Lytechinus pictus: one gene and its partner. The protein of the gene in region 2 purifies or fractionates together with the protein of the main gene of each other region. This does not show direct contact. Links are inferred from orthologs where the notes say so. Each region holds a gene or a part of one and is shown on either strand. Other genes may lie near its edges. The genes, in order: gamma-tubulin complex component 3-like and gamma-tubulin complex component 2-like.

Region 1 (9,470 bases), on a different chromosome or scaffold from region 2:
CATATCCTACACTTTTCCTTTGCTTTTCTTTCCTCCTTTTTTGTTTGTTCTTTGTAGAACTTTTGGGGCCATGGCCCAACCCTTCCATACAAAGTGCTGTGCGGTTGGGGTCCGGGGCGGAGCCCCTGAACTTCACGATATCAAAGCCATTTAAACCTCGAAGATTGCCGCTGTTTTAATAAAATCGCAGGTATATATAGAATACAGCTTTTACACAACACATAGATTCAACCCAGTTGCGTAATTAACCAAATATTTTGATGGGGCAAATCATAGCAAAGTGGGAAAACTTTGTAAAAAGTGCTAGCGTGCAAAGCGAGCTGGAAAAAAATTGCCTATTGAAATTAAATTCTAATTATGTGATATATTTTTCCATTATATATTCAGCAAATAACACATTTCATTGTTTCCATTCATTTCATTATACGTTGTCTCCTATAATTTCTTTTATTTCCTCTTGGGTGTGGAACCAAGACCCCCCCCTCGCGCCTGTATGCCAGTGATTGAACATGATTGAACGGGGGGGGGGCGTTATAGAGCCATTTGAAGGTTATAAATAAAGAGCCTGCTTGGGGTCTGGGGCAAAGCCCCGGTAGCTTATTTGAATATAATTTAGCGAACTTATAGCACAATGTTGTTTGCAGTCCATCTTTCTTCCCACTCATTAATTTCAATCATCGGCAGCCCGGTCATGTTATTATTTTTTTCTTGTCCCTTTTCTTTGTTTTCCAATTTAGCTTTTGACTAATCCCATTCTACCTACGTTTCCCGCTATTGTTTGCCATTTTTTCATCTTTTGATTTATTTCCCACGGTGCTATTGCATTACATAGGCCTTTTTCGGAATGATTTGTTCTTTCTCAATTGTTCTTTTTTGTACATTTCCCGCTTTCCTTCCTTTCCCATTAAATTCTTCGTTTTCTTTTCCCTGTCCCTTTCCTTTCCCCTCTTTCCTTTTCCCCTTTCCTTCCCCTTTCCCTTTCTTTCTTCCTCCTTTTTTTCTTTTTCCCGCTTTTCGTTTATTTTCCCGGTGAAATCCGCCAGGGGGGGGGGGGCAACTTGCCCCCCTGCCCCCCCCCGCCTGTTACGCCACTGGGGTCACGACCGGCAGGAGCAACCGGGCCTCAACCAGGAGCAGCAAGAAGCTTTCGAGAGATCGCCACAGTGACATCCCTACTTTGTTGGACACCTTCTAGTCCAGGATAGGCCCCATAGAAAATTGACGAAACCTTGTTTTTTTATATATACAATATTTTTTGATAGTTTCTTGTCAATTCGAGGGTGCTGATTACGAATCTGGATGATGCCACTCGCGTAACCTTGAGCATTTTCCGCAAATTGGCAAAATCCAATATGGCCGCCAAAATATGCAAATTACCCATGAATATCGTAAAATTGTCCGCACATTGGCTGTGAAATGCATGAAATTGTGTGGCAGGAGTGAAATACTCTCTGAAAAAAAAATTTTTGACAAAATATTTATGTTTCTGATATTCAAAATGGGCGCCATAGGCCATTGTATACACTAGCTATTATGTAAAATATGAAAAGGGAAAACTAATAATTTCACAAAAATGAGCACTAGACTGCAAAAATCGCGATGTATGAACGAATTAATATATGCAAATCATCATTACTAACGAAAGATTCCAAGATCAAGCAGCAGGGTCACGACCGGCAGGAGCAACCGGGCCTCAACCAGGAGCAGCAAGAAGCTTTCGAGAGATCGCCACAGTGACATCCCTACTTTGTTGGACACCTTCTAGTCCAGGATAGGCCCCATAGAAAATTGACCAAACCTTGTTTTTTTTATATATACAATATTTTTTGAAGGTTTCTTGTCAATTCGAGGGTGCTGATTACGAATCTGGATGATGCCACTCGTGTAACCTTGAGCATTATCCGCAAATTGGCAAAATCCAATATGGCCGCCAAAATATGCAAATGATGTGTCTCCATTATGATGAAATTATTATGTTGCGGCAATAAATAACTAATGCATTTAATCAGTTGTCAATCCAATTGTTTTAGTTCTTGGTAGAAATTTTTTGAATAAACCTACTTTCATATAATAAAATACAAAAGAACAAGTGGGGATGTGACATCATCAGCCCGCCTAATGAATATTCATAAAGACATGCCTAGACCTGGTTCACTGGAATAATGCAAATCTGTAAAATTCAATAACTTTGTTATTTGTTATCCGATTTTGATGAAATTTTCAGCATTTTGCTTTGTGAATTTTACTCTATTTATTGAGATATGAATATCGCCAGCCTGGATCATCCCTTTAACTCTCTTTTCATGTAATGACAATCCCCTAACCGTCTTTAGAACCCCCCCTCTTCCCCGCTCCCCCTCGATCTCTTTCACAATATCTGTGATTCCCCTTTTTACCCTGCTCTCTCGTTTCTTCTTTTGTCCACTCCCTAAGTTCTCACCCCCTTTCACAATTCCTTCCCCCTTCTCTCCCCCTCTCTTGCTCTCAATATGATTCCCCTTTTCTCCGTTCACTCTCTTTTCCTCTATATGAGCATAAACTCCCCCCACTCTCAATCTCTCTCTCTCTCTCTCTCTGAGAACTATACCTGTCATTTCTTTCCCTCGCCTAACTTGTTTTCCTTCTTTGATTCTCATTGTCTTTTCTCTGGCCCATGCACCTCCCACCCCGCCCCTTTTTCTGTGATTTCTTTCTTCTACCTAATAGGCCCCTACATATGTTTCCTCTTTTGCCCACTCACTAACCATGTAGGCCTACCAATGGGGGGGGGGGGGGGTAATCCCCCTCACACACACCCACATGCACCTCCACACCAGACCGTACGCAGGATTTCTTAAGGGGGGGGGTTCAAGGTGATTGAAATGTTAACAACCTAAAAAAAAAGGTTTTCCAATTTAGGTCGTTTCCAACCACCCAAAAATTCGACAAGCAAAAAAAAAGGTTTTCATATTTTTTTAAGGGGGTTTGAATTCTTAGGGGCTTGGGAGGGGGGTTGGGTATCAAAAATATTAAAGAGGTGTTTGAACCCCTGCACCCCCTGCGTACGCCACTAGGCCTACGATATGGAATCATCCACCCGCATCAACCCCCACCCCCCCCCCCCGGTTTTATAGACGCGCTGTTTACACCACTAGCTGTTTAAAGAATAATCATGTTGGACTTATTCGATGTCGAAAGTATATCAATAAAATTATCATGATCATCACGTATAAAATAGGGAAATGGCCTATTATTGTATAGGCCTTTCACCAAGTTGTACAACTTGACAGATTTGAATTCACGAATGAACTAGTGAAAAAAACATTTGGTCGGTAGTATCTGATTTTTAAAAAAGAAGAAAATGTCACGTCTAAACATATATGAAACATCTTGATACCTCAGTCACCAGGAAATTGTCAAGAAATGAATCATGTAAAATAATGCTTGAATTCCAATATAAGTGTAAAATATAGATCATCAACCCTATCTGGATCGACCAATTCCGGGGACCGGGATAGTCCTGTCCCCCTGTCTCATCACCCGAACACTTGTTTTCTTCTTGATCGAGTTCCATTGCTTTGTGGTAAAAAAAAATGAGTTAAAAGCTCAAAATTAAAAGCTCCATGTAACTTAGGCCTATTTGGGTAGATAGATATATCCGGGATAAATATATGCTTTTTAGCATCCCAATTCACCCGTCTCTCTCCGATCTTAATCAGTCCTTTTTTTCTGTCATCTCTAGCTATAACTGTCTTTCCTCTCCCACTTTCCCGTCTCTTTTTCTCTCATTTTTCATTTTATTTTGTTTTATTTTATCCATCTATTCATATTCACATACGAACCATATGTTTTTTAAAAAAGCACAACATCCTATCCGATACTCAATTTGGTTTCCGGGAAAAGAGTAGCACTTCCCACGCAATACTTTCTTTAGTTCAAACAGTTGCCAAAGCTTATGACAAGTCTTCGAATACGATTGGTTTGTTTTTAGATTTTTCAAAAGCATTCGATACAGTTGATCATAACATTCTCCTTTATAAACTTTCTCATTATGGAATAAGATGAGAACCACTAAAGTGGTTCAAGAATTATCTAACCGGGCGTTCACAGTTCGTTTCACTCGATTGTAATATTTCTGAACGTAAACCTGTCCTTTGTGGAGTTCCACAGGGCAGCATTCTTGGCCCACTTTTGTTCATTACTTATATAAATGATATTGATATGTCATCTAGATTGCTTCAATTTATACTTTTCGCTTATGACTCTAATATATTTCTGTCGCACCCCGACCCAGAGCAATTGACGCAAATATTCAATGACGAACTAAAAAATGTGTCTAATTTGATAACAGCTAACAAACTCTCTCTTAACCTAGAAAAAACTAGCTACATGCTATTTAGCAACAAGATTACGAATGTACCAAAAGATGTAATTTTAAATGATATTGTCATTCATAGAGTGCGATCTACTAAATTTTTGGGACTGATCATAGACGAAAAACTTTCTTGGAAAGCACATATTGATAATATTTGTAAAATCATTGCTCGCAACATCGGTGTCATTAGAAAATTAAGTTACTTCTTACCCCATTTTATTTTGTTATCATTGTATTCAACGTTAATTTTACCTTATTTGAATCACGGAGTTGTTGCGTGGGGTAATGCAGCGAATTCTCAAATTAATAGACTTTTTATTTTACAAAAAAGAGTGATTCGTATTATTAGTCATGCAGAATTCAGGGCACATACAAATATTCTGTTTTTGAGAAATAAAGTCTTGAAGGTTGAAGATTTATATTCTTTTCAACTCGGACAGTTAATGTTCAAGTTTATCAATAAACAATTACCGTTACCTTTTAATAATATGTTTGTAAAAAATAATACAATTCATAAGCATTTCACTCGCCAGGCGAGTTCCTTTCATTTACCTCTGAATAGAACATCGTTTGCACAGAAGACATTTGTTTTTACTGGTCCAAAATTATGGAATTCTTTTTCAAAGGATATTATACAATGTAATTCAATACACAATTTCAAAGGAAAACTTAAAATATATCTTCTGAATTCATATTAGATTATCGTTTTTTCCCAAAGTAATGTAATTCAGAACTTAATATGTAAATGTGTTTATTAATTTCTCTTTGTATATATGTTTAATCGTTTTATGATTTCTGTATACAGTGTATACTGAATCATTTATTTTTATTATTATGTATTTATTTTTATTTTTATTTGTTTATTTTTTAAGATCATTTTATATATATATATATATATATATATATATATATATTGTTTATTTCTTTATTTTATCTTATTTTTTATTCATAAAATTTACTTATAAAAGGGGGCCTTCACCCTACAAGCTCTGCTTTTTAGTTGGTCTCCTTCCCTTTCGATTTCATGGTATTATTGAATTATAAAAAATGATTTAAATGTTATATTTTGTAAATATGTTTATTGAACTATTATTGTAAATGTAAAAAGATTGAAAGAGAAAATAAATGAATTGAATTGAATTGAATTGAATATTTTGAAGGAGGAGGGGGGGGGGGGGCTCGAGGAAAGCCGCCCCATGCCTGCCATGGATGTGTTCACGCGCAGTGCGCACAATTCAATGAGATCGAAGCTAAAAAGCGGTCTGAAAAACTGGCGCCGAGGCGTAGATTTCAACGAGAAGTTTGTACTTGTTAATTGTATCTGATTCTGAAAATAACTTGTAATGTAAGTGTAGCTTTTTTATACCTTTTTTTTTGTTTAGACAGACACTCATATTGATCTGAATTGATTTCATTATTTTTACCTCCTTACCAAGGCAATATCATGATTTCTTCAGGCTTTAGAAAATATAATTATAAAGTTAGATCGACGAGGATCCGATCGCAGAGATTGTACATGACCCACGCATTCACTTTCGTGTCTGTGGCGACATTCAATAGAAGGTAAAAATTAAAATAGGGTTATAAACTGATAAACTTGTTTTACGTTAGATAAGATAAGATTTTATTAATCGGGAGTATGATATGCTATCCACACTGCACTTTTTCCCCTTAACCCCAGGAAATTGGTGGGGCTAAGGGGTGTCTTCTTAGCCCCACCAATTTTCCGGGGTTAAGCTAACTCTAAGTCTAGACTCTAAGGTAGACCAAAAGCTTCAGTCTCTGTTATGTTGGTTGTTCAGCTGAACTCCGTTGGCTTCACTCACCAAATACAGAGACCGAAGTTCTAGCGCGATCTGTACAGGGGACTCAATGGCCATATGTTTATGTACTTAAGATCGGATAAAACGGGGAAGTGAATTTGCGCGACAGCCGAGGTAAGTCACTGTTTTTGTTCCTTTTAACTTGATTTTTCTCCGTTTTGGGGCAATTAATGCCAAGAGGGAATATTAATTTGCATTTTGGTCGCGTTAATTTTCAAAATTTTTTATTCATTAAAGACAAAAATTGAAGAGCCCCGACGGGGGGATTTCGCATTGCAAGTCCCCTAATGGTGGCTGCACGCTAGCGAGCCGTCTGTGTACGAGGAGAATTAAAAAAAAAAAAAATGTTAAAAAACTCCTCGAAACAGACGGCTGGCAGCTGTCTAACTCTAAGGCAGCTTAGCCCACTTCGTTTTCCTTTTAGCAAAGTGGGCTAGCACGGTAAATAGTACGGTACTATCTGGCCCTGCAAAATAGCAGGGTTAGCCGGCTTATTGTGGTGCTAGCACCACAATTGCGGTGCTAAGTAAGAGATGCAGTGTGAAACGAAACAGGGCTAAGGAAACTCTAGACCAAAAGCTTCAGTCTCTGTTATGTTGGTCGTTCAGCTGAACTCCGTTGGCTTCACTCACCAAATACAGAGACCGAAGTTCTAGCGCGATCTGTACAGGGGACTCACTGGCCATATGTTTATGTACTTAAGAGCGGATAAAACGGGGAAGTGAATTTGCGCGACAGCCGAGGTATAAGTCACTGTTTTTGTTCCTTTTAACTTGATTTTTCTCTGTTTTTTGGCAATTAATGCCAAGAGGGAATATTAATTTGCATTTTGGTCGCGTTAATTTTCAAAAATTTTATTCATCAAAGACAAAAATTGAAGAGCCCCGACGGGGGGATTTTGCATTGCAAGTCCCCTAATGGTGGCTGCACGCTAGCGAGCCGTCTGTGTACGAGGAGAAATAAAAAAAATAAAAAAATGTTTAAAAACTCCTCGAAACAGACGGCTGCCAGCTGTCTAAGGAAACTCAAGCACAATACATTAATTTGAAAATCTATAGCATCCCAATCATTGACAAAGCATTCCACGGGGGTTTGATCCCGGGGGGGGGGGGGGGGGGGGGCACTCGACCAAAAAAGTGGTAGGGGTGTGCTGCGGGCGAGGCAAAAAACGGGGGCCTTGGAGCGGGCTTATTGTAAAAAGGAGGGTCCTCGGAACGGGCTTCGGAACTACAAATGTTTGTGAAAACGGGGGTCCTCGGAACGGATCTCTGTAAGTGCGTATGCATCCCTATGGAACGGGCAATCGTGCATGACGCAGCTAGCGCGGCCTCCGCCGGGTGCGCTCGCGCTTAGGCGATGGTCGAAACGCGCTCTACGGCCGCTTTTCACCAAAATTGTAGCAGATCAATGCGACCGGAACGGCGTAACGAAAAATATGCGAAGCTTTGGAGCGGATTTCTTTCTTCTTTTTTCTCGATAAGAAGGAAATGCTATGCCTTGGAGCGGCTTTCTTTGTTCTTTTTCTCAATAAGACAAAAATGCTATTCCTTGGAACGGAAATTTCAGTGTAAAAATGGGGGTCCCCTCCGCGGCACATACCCACTCTGCATTATATACTGAGTGCCCCCCCCCCCGGGGGTTTGATATTCCATGTGGCGTGCCGATGTTAACCCTTTGGATCCGACTGGCTTCTGCCGAAGCGAAATATCAATATTTACTATTTTTGTCTCTAGAAGCATTGTTTTGGCTCAATATTTTTTGAAAATTTCAAATTAGTTATGGACAGCAAAAGGGAAGCTCTTGTGATGTTTTCATGTCAACATAATATGATAGAATCGTGAAAAAGAGACATATACAATTTTATAACTACTTACAAAATGGACAAATTGCAGCACTTTCCGACAATTTGCGCTCTTTTAGAGCTCACTCATTTTAAAAGGTGTATGATTATGAACACATTTTGTATACCAGTAATTATATAATTTATTTGTCGGCTCTGAGATAATTAACTTTTGATATTACTCGAATTATGGTTATTTCTGTTTGCTGATACCCGTTATACTGTACTAATGCATTATTAAAACTGAACCAGCCAAGTTAAAATCCAAATCTCTCTTGTTGCTACGAGAAACTGTCGCCAAATGAAAATGTCTGTTTTGTTGAAACAGCTGAAAAGGCATTGTTGAAACACATGTTTAAAAACAATGGACTCGTCGCCGGCTCGTCAGATGGGGTTAAAGCAGGCTGGAACTTAGCGGATAGATTCCTATCCTTCATAACACATTCCTGATTTAATCCAAGACAAGACAAAACAAGATGACTAGACTCAAACCATTGCTTTTACCGTGTAGCATCATATGTTTGACTTCCTGATTCTCTTTGATTATCTGTCGGTAGGTGATGTAGATAATGGCAAGCTTCACCATGTCTAACCCCGGAGCATCTGATGGGGACAACAGCCCTGCTGGACTTCTCCTGAGAATGGTACAAACTCTACTCAACAAGAAACAAGGTACAATTTATATTGGAAAAATATTGCTTTTTTGGCTGTACAAAGTTGAATCACCTGGGACTAGGGCTGAGTCATTAACAGATTTTTGTTTGACCGGTGACCATCCATGATTTTCCAGCGGAGACCTGTGGACTGCTAAAATAAACAAATACATACTATACTTATTAATAATTTGCACACAACTTGTCAACTGTTATTGTGCTGAGTACCATGTTGGCAAGGTTGTTTAAATGAAATGGGACTAAATTTTGCTACCTTTAATCAAATTCTAAAAAAAAAACGTGTTCTAATCTACAAAAATCTTATTTCAATTTCAAATAATGGGAATAGAAATAATTGAGAATCCGATTTAGCCCAAAATCGGAAGGCTCGGCCAGTTGGTCAGTGACCTTTTTCTTTTAAAGATATAACTTTGATGCCGTGCTGCACTGCACAAAGAGGTGATTAGATAAATACCAGTTGTGGTAATGACCTCAAAATGTGCCAAATGGCTCTGGAAGAAAATGCATAAATGCTGAGAAATGAAAAAAATAACCACAGAATTCCATCAAATGATGGGTATTTTTCCACGCAATATTAATGCACTGTCCCACATATGCTTTTTTGTGTCAGTGATCATAAAAAAATTCTGTTTTGAGCTGAGATTTCATGATATCACAAAATTAAGTTTACATTAATGTACTAGATCTAGATGATAATTTAGTGAAAATTAAACTTTATTTAAAAGACTTTCTCATGGTTTTTTTTGCTGCAAGTGGGCAACAACTTTCTGGAGTCAAAA
Region 2 (8,669 bases):
CAAAGCAGAAGGTCATTTTATGAACAGAAAATGTTGTATTTTATGTGAGTTTTAATAGTAGACTTTAATGATATTAAAAAAGAAAAAATCTGGATTTTGTCAAATAATATAATACAAGGTTTATCCTTATAAATCATATTTGATTTGATATGATTTATTTATTTCCACATTCCAATAACAAAAGTTTATACAAGTGTAATCATTTTTTTCTCTGCATAATCATAAGCAAAAAACCATAAAGAATAACATATGCATACAATACATACATTCTAACAATCTACTTGAAATATATCTATACCTGATAATTTTTTTTTTCCAAATTATTAAAACAAATAGCAGACAAAAATAAATAAATATAACAATATAATACATTTTGGAATGTGGGAGACCTCCATCTTAAGCTTAGAGCTTGAAATTGATGAAGGCCTCGAAAGGAAAGGGGAAGGAAAACCAGATAAACAGTGCAATAATATTTGCAATTGTATTGATTTAATACCATTGCAAATATGATTTATAAGGATAAACCTTATATTATATTACTGTATTTGATAAAATCCAGATTTTTTTTTCTTTTTGAATATCATTAAAGTCTACACTATTTGTTTGTTCAGCTGTCACTGTGGCCTTTCGGGAGAGGGGGTGGGGGCACAGTTACCTCTGGTTTTGAATGACATAACTGGAAATGCTATTGTCGGATTTTACAAGTATACCCACATATTTTGTTATTTTTTGTTATTTTCTATGACTTTAAGTCCATTGAGCAGTACTCCTGTGCATATAATACCAGGTAACATTTCTCTCTTTTTTTCTGTGTAGCTGGGCTGGTTTGGTGTCCAAGAACTACGAGATAGAGAGGGCATGTCTTGAGCTGGAATACGATACCAACAACCTCAAACACCAGGTGGATTCCTTGAAACCCAGTACTGACACACAATATGGACAAGCTAATCGCCAAAACGATGATGTTGATATGGAGGAGAGTGATGAGGATGACGACGACGACGATGATGATGAGTATGCTGCTTCAAGATGATACTGTGGAAGGGATTCTTACAATATTTTGAAATTTTCAGTGTCATTGGACTTTTTGGAGAATGACAAAAGTGGTGCAGTGTAAATTTAGCTTTTTAGCTATTTATTCCCTTCTTTGGAAACAGATGTTCTGAATATTTAGGAGATATATAAAAAGTTTAATTTAACTTGTAAAGATGAAATTTAATTCTGGCTGTAAATTGGAGTAATGGAGTACACTGTCTCAAAGTGATCGATAAATGCTGTGTGTAAAGGCCACCGCACACCTTACGACTGTTTGCGATCCGATTTTGGAACAAATCGCATTTTGCTCATTTTCTGAAAAAGTGAATGGAGCAAATAATTTTATTTGAGGTTAAAATTAATACTAATATAACCATTTTGAAAGATTACAAGCCTTTATTTTAGAGTAAAGGCCAAATTAGTTTCAAATCGTAGGCAATCGTACGACTGCTTACGTCTAGATATTAAATTCACTTTTATTCTAAGAAGGATGATAGCACAGTCACAGATTTGAACACAGGTATTCGTACAATGATTTAGGACATTACACAGTAAGATATTCCAAGTCTCAGTATTAGCATCAAATTCTACTACATTTTATTCTAAATTCGGGTCGCAGACCAATCGTATGGTGTGCGGTCGCCTTAATGTATCTAAGAATTGGGGCTTACTATAAGGCAATGGTATCACCAAAATGGTAGACATATTGACTCTAATCTTGTGAAGATCACATGCACTGCACTCAGATAAGCATGTATGGGACTACACCAATATTGTTGGCCACACACTTCAATTGTCATTTTAATGACCAATCCTTTACACTTGATCATTTTCACATCATATGTCTTAAATATCATGAAAATAATTGGATTGCTCACAAGGATTATTTCCATCTTTCCAATAATTTTCGTTTATCTTTAAGCCTATTTAGATGGGCTTTTTTCAACCAAAATTTTTGATGGGGGATCAGTGGGACCCAACCCCACCACCCCTGCTTCGATCTCGGCTGGAAGAGGTCCGATTAACATAAATTTTGCAAGAGACATGTTGAAAATAAATGCCATTTGTGGTAACGATCTCAAAATGAGTTCGAACAGAATCCAATAAAGTAACCACCCCGGTATTTGTTTGTATTAATACAAATTTATGCCAAATGACTCTGGAAGGAAATATTTGATTACTGAGAAATAAACAAAATAAGCACAGAATTCCATATAATGTGTCCTTTTCCCAGAAATATTAATCCACTGTCCCACGTATGCTTTTTGTCTCGCCCACCAGAGGTGAAGGCGAGACTTAGGGATCCAAATGTCGTCCGTCACAAACCTTATGACACAAAACTCCACAACCGTAAGTCGCTTTTCAACCAAACTTGGATGATAGATGGACATGGGGGACCTGCATTTTATGCTGCAGTCAGAGGTCACATGTTAAGGTCAAAGGTCATTTTCAGGTCAACATTAAAGTTTATGTGCAAGGCTCTTATGACAAGTGTTATTCCATCCCAGTCATTTCACAATGAAGTTTCGATACAATTATGTTGCGTGCCCTCGCAAATTACGATATTTCTGGTTGTTTTCATAAGTGGGCGAGACACAAAATCGCTTTTGCCTTGTATTTAATAGTGATCATACGTTAATGTACTGAAAAATAGATCTGTGATGACCTTGATTTTAATGACTTTCTCATGAAATAATTGTCTGCTGCAACTATTTTTTGCAGCAGCAGCATCATTTTTAGGTACTACACTGTTGTATATTATATGCATGTACTCTCATTTCAATATCATCTTATTGTTGAATAAGGTGTATTCATGGCACATATACATTGTATTGCAAATGCAATTTAAAAATAACCTGGGCTTATAAAGAGCTAAATAGCCTTAAATCTTAAAGAACCAGACTGGACCCCAATCATATATTAACAATTGAAAGCTCATATAATACTAAGCTAAGCAATGCAAGCTTTATGCATCTCTACTGCTTACCAGCTGAGTATTCTACTTCAGAAAAGCTCTAAGCTCTCTACCAGGCTTCGAAAATAGGCTTTCTTGTGCTCTACACTGGCCTCGAAACCGTGACGTCATGCAGTGCTAGAAGCGTTGTGATTCCATAGGTTTGTACGCAGAATAAGCGGTTGATTTTTCACTTTTCAAATTATGCATTCTACTTTCCTTACTTCTATCACATAGAGATATCTTTAGCTGCAAACTTGGACTGATCAAATCTACAGTTTTAGATTATATTTTACCATATTTATTTCCCGCTTATTTTGCGCAGCTTTCCAATTCTATCTGCATTCAGATTAGATTACACATAACAATTTTTCCTGACGTAGCAGTTGTGTCCAATAAGAGTCAATCAAAGAAATCAAAAAGAACTTTGTGAAGACTGAAGAGTTGTATGTTTCCATTCATTTGAGCACAGAATAATTGTTAGTGCCATTTTCCTCTGCAAATTGAAATAAAAATATATAAGCTGGAAAGAAAATCTTTTCTTCGTACAAACCTATGGAATCACAACCCTCCTGACACAATGTGACTTCACATAAATCAATGTGTTCTGTTTATTATTTGATTGCATATTGAGATATTTTGAAAGGAAATAGATGTCAATCATGCTAGTTCATTTTTGTTGAGAACTAGCTTCATTTGGATTAGTTGTAATGAATCCAGTCCTGCTGTAAAAGATTCATTTTTATGTTGTAAATAAATTTCCTATGAAACTGAATCATTGCAGCATTCAACTGTTTTGTCTATTTTCATTTCACTGATTATCATTTTTGTGGTGATCACAGTTAGAGCTACATTTAAAGGGGAATTTCACCCATTGATAAGTTGGTTTGAATAGTGAAAAAAAGATGGAGAAAAATACTGGTGAAGGTTTGATGAAAATCTGTCAAGAATAACAGAGTTATGAATTGCTCAAAGTTTTTTTTATTTATTGACCTTACAGACAAGTAGCTCCTCCATGTGTTATGTAATCTGAGTCCCCCAAAATGTCATTCTCTCAAAAAATTGGAAATGATTTTTACGGTGGATAAATTATTACACACATTTCATACCCAAATCTGCAAGAAAAATATTTGAATTCATGTTAAAAAATATGGAATGTATGGAATTTTTATGACATAATTGCTAAATGGAGAAACTCCTCGCATGTGATGACACATATTAGATTATTCTTTGATGGAATTTCATTGAAAGTTCACCAATATTTTCTCAATTTTATTCTGCTTTTATTAAAACCAACTTGTCATCAGGGTGAACCTCCCCTTTAAAGACTTTAAATGCTTAGATGCGATTATATACCCCTCCCTGGATTATGAAGATAAAGTTTGTAATTGTTATCTAACAGGTACTATAGTAACAGTTAGATGCTTGGTGCTTCTTGGCCAATCAAATCCTGGAAAGATTTTGTATCAGATAGTGGTATATATAATGATTACCAAAAATACTGAGACAGCTAGCTGGTATATTGGCCAGGGGAAAATTTAAAAGGTAAACAAATGTTTTTGACCTTTTTGAATTCTATTGTGATTGATTTTGACATAATACAAAGATAATACTTTTCCTTTTCATTTTCTTTCATTTTCTCCTTTATTTGAATGGTCATTTCGGGTCCCAGACCCCCCCCCCCCTCCCCCCTAAATAAAAGAGGAAAAATGAATAGTATATACTGAAACAAATTTTTTTTTAATAAATAAGTGGTATATATAATTTGCGGGAAAAAAATGAGTTGGTGATATTCGATTTTGACTGATGGCCATGCATGCATTGCATCACGAACCAACGCCAACAATTTTACGTTAAAAAAAAAAAAAACGATAAAGGCTAGGCGACATTACAATACGTGAACGAGGATACTCTTCTAATTTGACGTTTCGCCGCGAACATTAACAGAGAATGCATCTCGTAAGTCAAATTTGTTTTGTTTTTTAAGTTTGAATTAGGGGCTAATAAGGATTTCGTTTCACATGTAACCATTTTTAATTTTCAGAATGAAATTTAGAACATAGATCTTAAACATTTTATCGAATGCATTGAAATATAGGATTTACAACGGCCGAAATTTGTGTAGGCATAAAGTAACTAACGTGAAAAGTGGTTTATGGGACCGTAGACTGGGAATCTTGTCCGTCTGTCAAGGGTCGGGCGTTATTCCCCGCGCGAGCTGGGCGGCGCGTGCCTCGGCTCTGCCGGCCGAGGCTGTGCTAGACCAAAAGCTTCGGTCTCTGTTTATGGTTGTTCCGCTGAACTACGTTGGACCCAATCACCAATTACAGAGAGACAGAACTGAAGTTCTAACTCGATCTGTACAGCCTACATGGGGAGACAATCTCCCACAAGTGACATTGGACTAATTTGGAGACTTGCTTTGCCTTTGCAAAAGGACAAAAGAAACAACACCAACAAAAAGTCAAAAGCATGATTTTTTTCCACCCAAAATTTTGTCTCACTGAGGTCAGAAGCCCATTTGTTTTGTGTGTGATTAACAACAAAAATCCTTATCAAAACAAAAGTAGACGGTGAATTTTTAAAGTAGACGGTGAAAAGGGGTAATTTTTCATGAGGAATCTGCTTATCACATTTTTATTTGCCGCCAAGGTAATCCTTTTGCAGCAAATGTAAACAAAGGAAATTGGTCTCCAAAACTGGAGACTGTCTCTGAAATTGGATACCCAAATTCTTTACAAAAGTCTCTGATATTGGAGATAATCTCCCACATTGGAGACAGTCTCCAATATTGGCCGTGCGCCTCTACTGACAGGGACTCAATGGCCATATTAATATTACCTCAGGCGATGTTCGTGCAGGCTCCACTTCACTACCGCTACACTCCGCTCCACCTACCCGAACATTGGGACCGTGAACCATTTCGGATATACCAAGTCACAAAGGTGGGATGGCAATCATGATAATCGTAAAAAAAATATATATATATATAACGAAAAAGATGATTGACTTAATATCTTACTCTACACCCGTATTTCACTCCGTTTCCATCCTCCGGTTATCCTCAAAATTGGTGATTTTGGGCCAGTATCAAATTCCTCACACGTATTATTCACGGCCGATTTCGAAACATTGTATGCAACGAACGTAGAGGGCAGCAACACACATCAGTGTGAGGAAGGTCCACTCGATACGGCTTTTGAAATCGGCCGTGAATAATATGTGTGAGGAATTTGATACTGGCCCAAAATCACTAATTTTGAGGATAACCGGAGTATAGAAACGGAGTGAAATATGGGTGTAGAGTAAGATATTAAGTCAGTCATCTTTTTCATTATATTTTTTTGGTTTAATTTTTACGATTATCATGATTGCCATCCCACCTTTGTGACTCGGTATATCGGAAATGGTTCACGGTCCCGATGTTTGGGTAGGTGGAGCGGTAGTGAAGTGGAATGGAGCCTGCACGAACATCGCCTGAGGAGTGAGGTATGGCCATATGTACTTTATGACTTATGTATTATAAGCTCAGATAAACCAGGGAAGTGGGAGTTGCGTGACAGCCGAAGCCCGGGCCGGGGGGGGCCACTTACATTGACTAGTGGATACCATGCGCGACCCCAAAAACACGTTAAAAGGATGTCTTTTTCAAGATAGGGCACGTTACGTACGTAACGTAATAAGGGTGTCAAAAACACTAAAATAATTTTTAAAAAGGGTATCTACTTTCGCTAGGGTCAAATTTGCGATGGTGTAAAAAATTAAGACTAAAAATAAAATGTCTTATAAAGGATGTACTTTTTGCCCCAAGAGTCAACACTACGTGTTTGGAGTACGATTTGCGCGAGTGAGGCTGTACTAAAACCAATGATGTAGGTAAAGGTAAAACCGACGACCGACGTCCATGACATAATAATTGAAATATCGCTGTATTTGTTTAGGGGTTCAATTCAGGGAATACTTGCCAATAGTATCGTTTTTTTTCCAATACTTGTTAAGGGTAGGGTTTCACACGCCAATACTTGTTAAGGGGTGCATTTTCAGAGTATGGAAAATACGTGTTTAGGGTGCTTTTTGAGACCTCATGGTCGTGCATGGTATCCACTCGTCAATGGAAGTGCCCCCCCCCCCCCCCCCCGGAGCCGAAGTAAGTCACTGTTTTTTTTTTCCTTTTAAGAATTAGATCTAAGTTTCTTTTTTCCCGTTTTGGTGCATTTCAGGCCAAAACAGAATAATGTTTATTTTGGTCCAGCTCTTTTATATATTTTTATGAAATAAAGTAAGCCTGAGTCATAAAATTCGATTATTTTGAAATCCGGTGTTCGACAGCTTTTATTCTATCGAACATCGATGCATCGAATTGTGGAGGCAGGGAAAATCAAGTCAATTTTTTTTGCTCCGGCCGTCGATGCACGCACTGCGACGGTATGCGCTGGAAGGGTACGCGTTGCACAAGCAGATGACAGAGCAAAAGTTCACTTGTATTTTCTATGATCACAAACACAAAAAAAGGGACTAATGCAGAATTCTTCCCAAAATATCTTAAACAATGATATTTGCAGATGACAACATAAGTTTAAAATGAAAATTAAAGACATGAATCACGCAGAGTCGATCCGAATGATTTTTGGTCAACTAGCATGAGCAGTCCGGACTCGCTTACACTACAGCCCGTCTGCAGCCCCGTTCACTCACTCTTGTGAAACGACAGGCGTGCTTGCCGGCAAAACAGTGCTCTACCAGTGCAGAGCACTGTAACTCGCCTGAGATGTAGTTGTTTATGTTTATTTTGATGATTGTGTGAACCATATGAAACGGCCGGCCAACGTTTGATCTATTTTTTTTTTTTCGATGCACCGATTTTGCAAAATCTGCACCGGCGCTCGATGACATCGATCGAACACCGATTATAAAATCGATTTGATGTTGACGGGGGGATTTTGCATTGTTAACCCCCCAAATGGCGTCTGCAAGATCGCGAGCTGTCTGTGTTCGAGGAGAAATTTTTTTGTTTTAATGTTAAAAAACTCCTCAAAACAGACGGCTGCCAGCTGTCTAAGGCTGTGCCTGCCCTCCCTGGCTTGATCAGGGCTGAGCCTCGCACCTCAGGTTGCTCTGTTCCTCAGTTGTTAGACCGAAATATTATTTCACTGGGCGCTAATGCAGTTTCGCACCGGCACACTTCGAGCAAATTTCCCCATCAAATGGCATTTGGAAATGCCCGGGGGGGGGGGGGGCACTTCCATCAGTAACAGGCGCTGGTCAGAAAATTGGGATCGTCCCAGTTTGTTTGGGACTGTCTCAGTTTTCAAAGATTTCTCGACACAAAATATCTAGGAAACTAAGTATAACTTCATTCTCCTGACTCAGGAGAATGAAGTTATAGACTATACTTAGTTTCCTACATTTTTTATGTGGAGAAATGTACCATTTTCAACATGTATCCTTTTAAAAGTATGCATGCAGTGCAAAACCTGTGAACAACTACAAACTGAATTTATTATTATTTTTTTATTACTTCTCCAGATTTCCAGATGATTGAATTTAGACCTTGATCATTTTACAATGAGTGAATTTAAGATACATCATCTCGTCAGTGAGCTGATGAAACACTTGGGGTAAGTACATGTACATCTAAACAAATTCTGAAGAATATTTTTCTTTACACTATCTAATTGCT

What was found.
Region 1: the proteins of gamma-tubulin complex component 2-like (region 2) and gamma-tubulin complex component 3-like fractionate together in Drosophila melanogaster (co-fractionation; 3 studies listed by BioGRID). This does not show direct contact. The link is inferred for Lytechinus pictus from reciprocal best matches to the Drosophila melanogaster genes Grip84 and Grip91.

Annotation. Positions count from the first base shown.
Region 1 is NC_087260.1:8,323,269-8,332,738, forward strand, and holds the start of gamma-tubulin complex component 3-like, read left to right. Parts: upstream 1-5,613; 5' UTR 5,614-5,699; intron 5,700-5,851; exon of another isoform or gene 5,852-5,917; intron 5,918-8,574; 5' UTR 8,575-8,586; coding exon 8,587-8,689; intron 8,690-9,470.
Region 2 is NC_087246.1:47,395,466-47,404,134, forward strand, and holds the start of gamma-tubulin complex component 2-like, read left to right. Parts: upstream 1-4,869; 5' UTR 4,870-4,948; intron 4,949-8,515; 5' UTR 8,516-8,554; coding exon 8,555-8,607; intron 8,608-8,669. Other genes in the region: pre-mRNA-splicing factor SPF27-like, read left to right, coding at 817-1,033.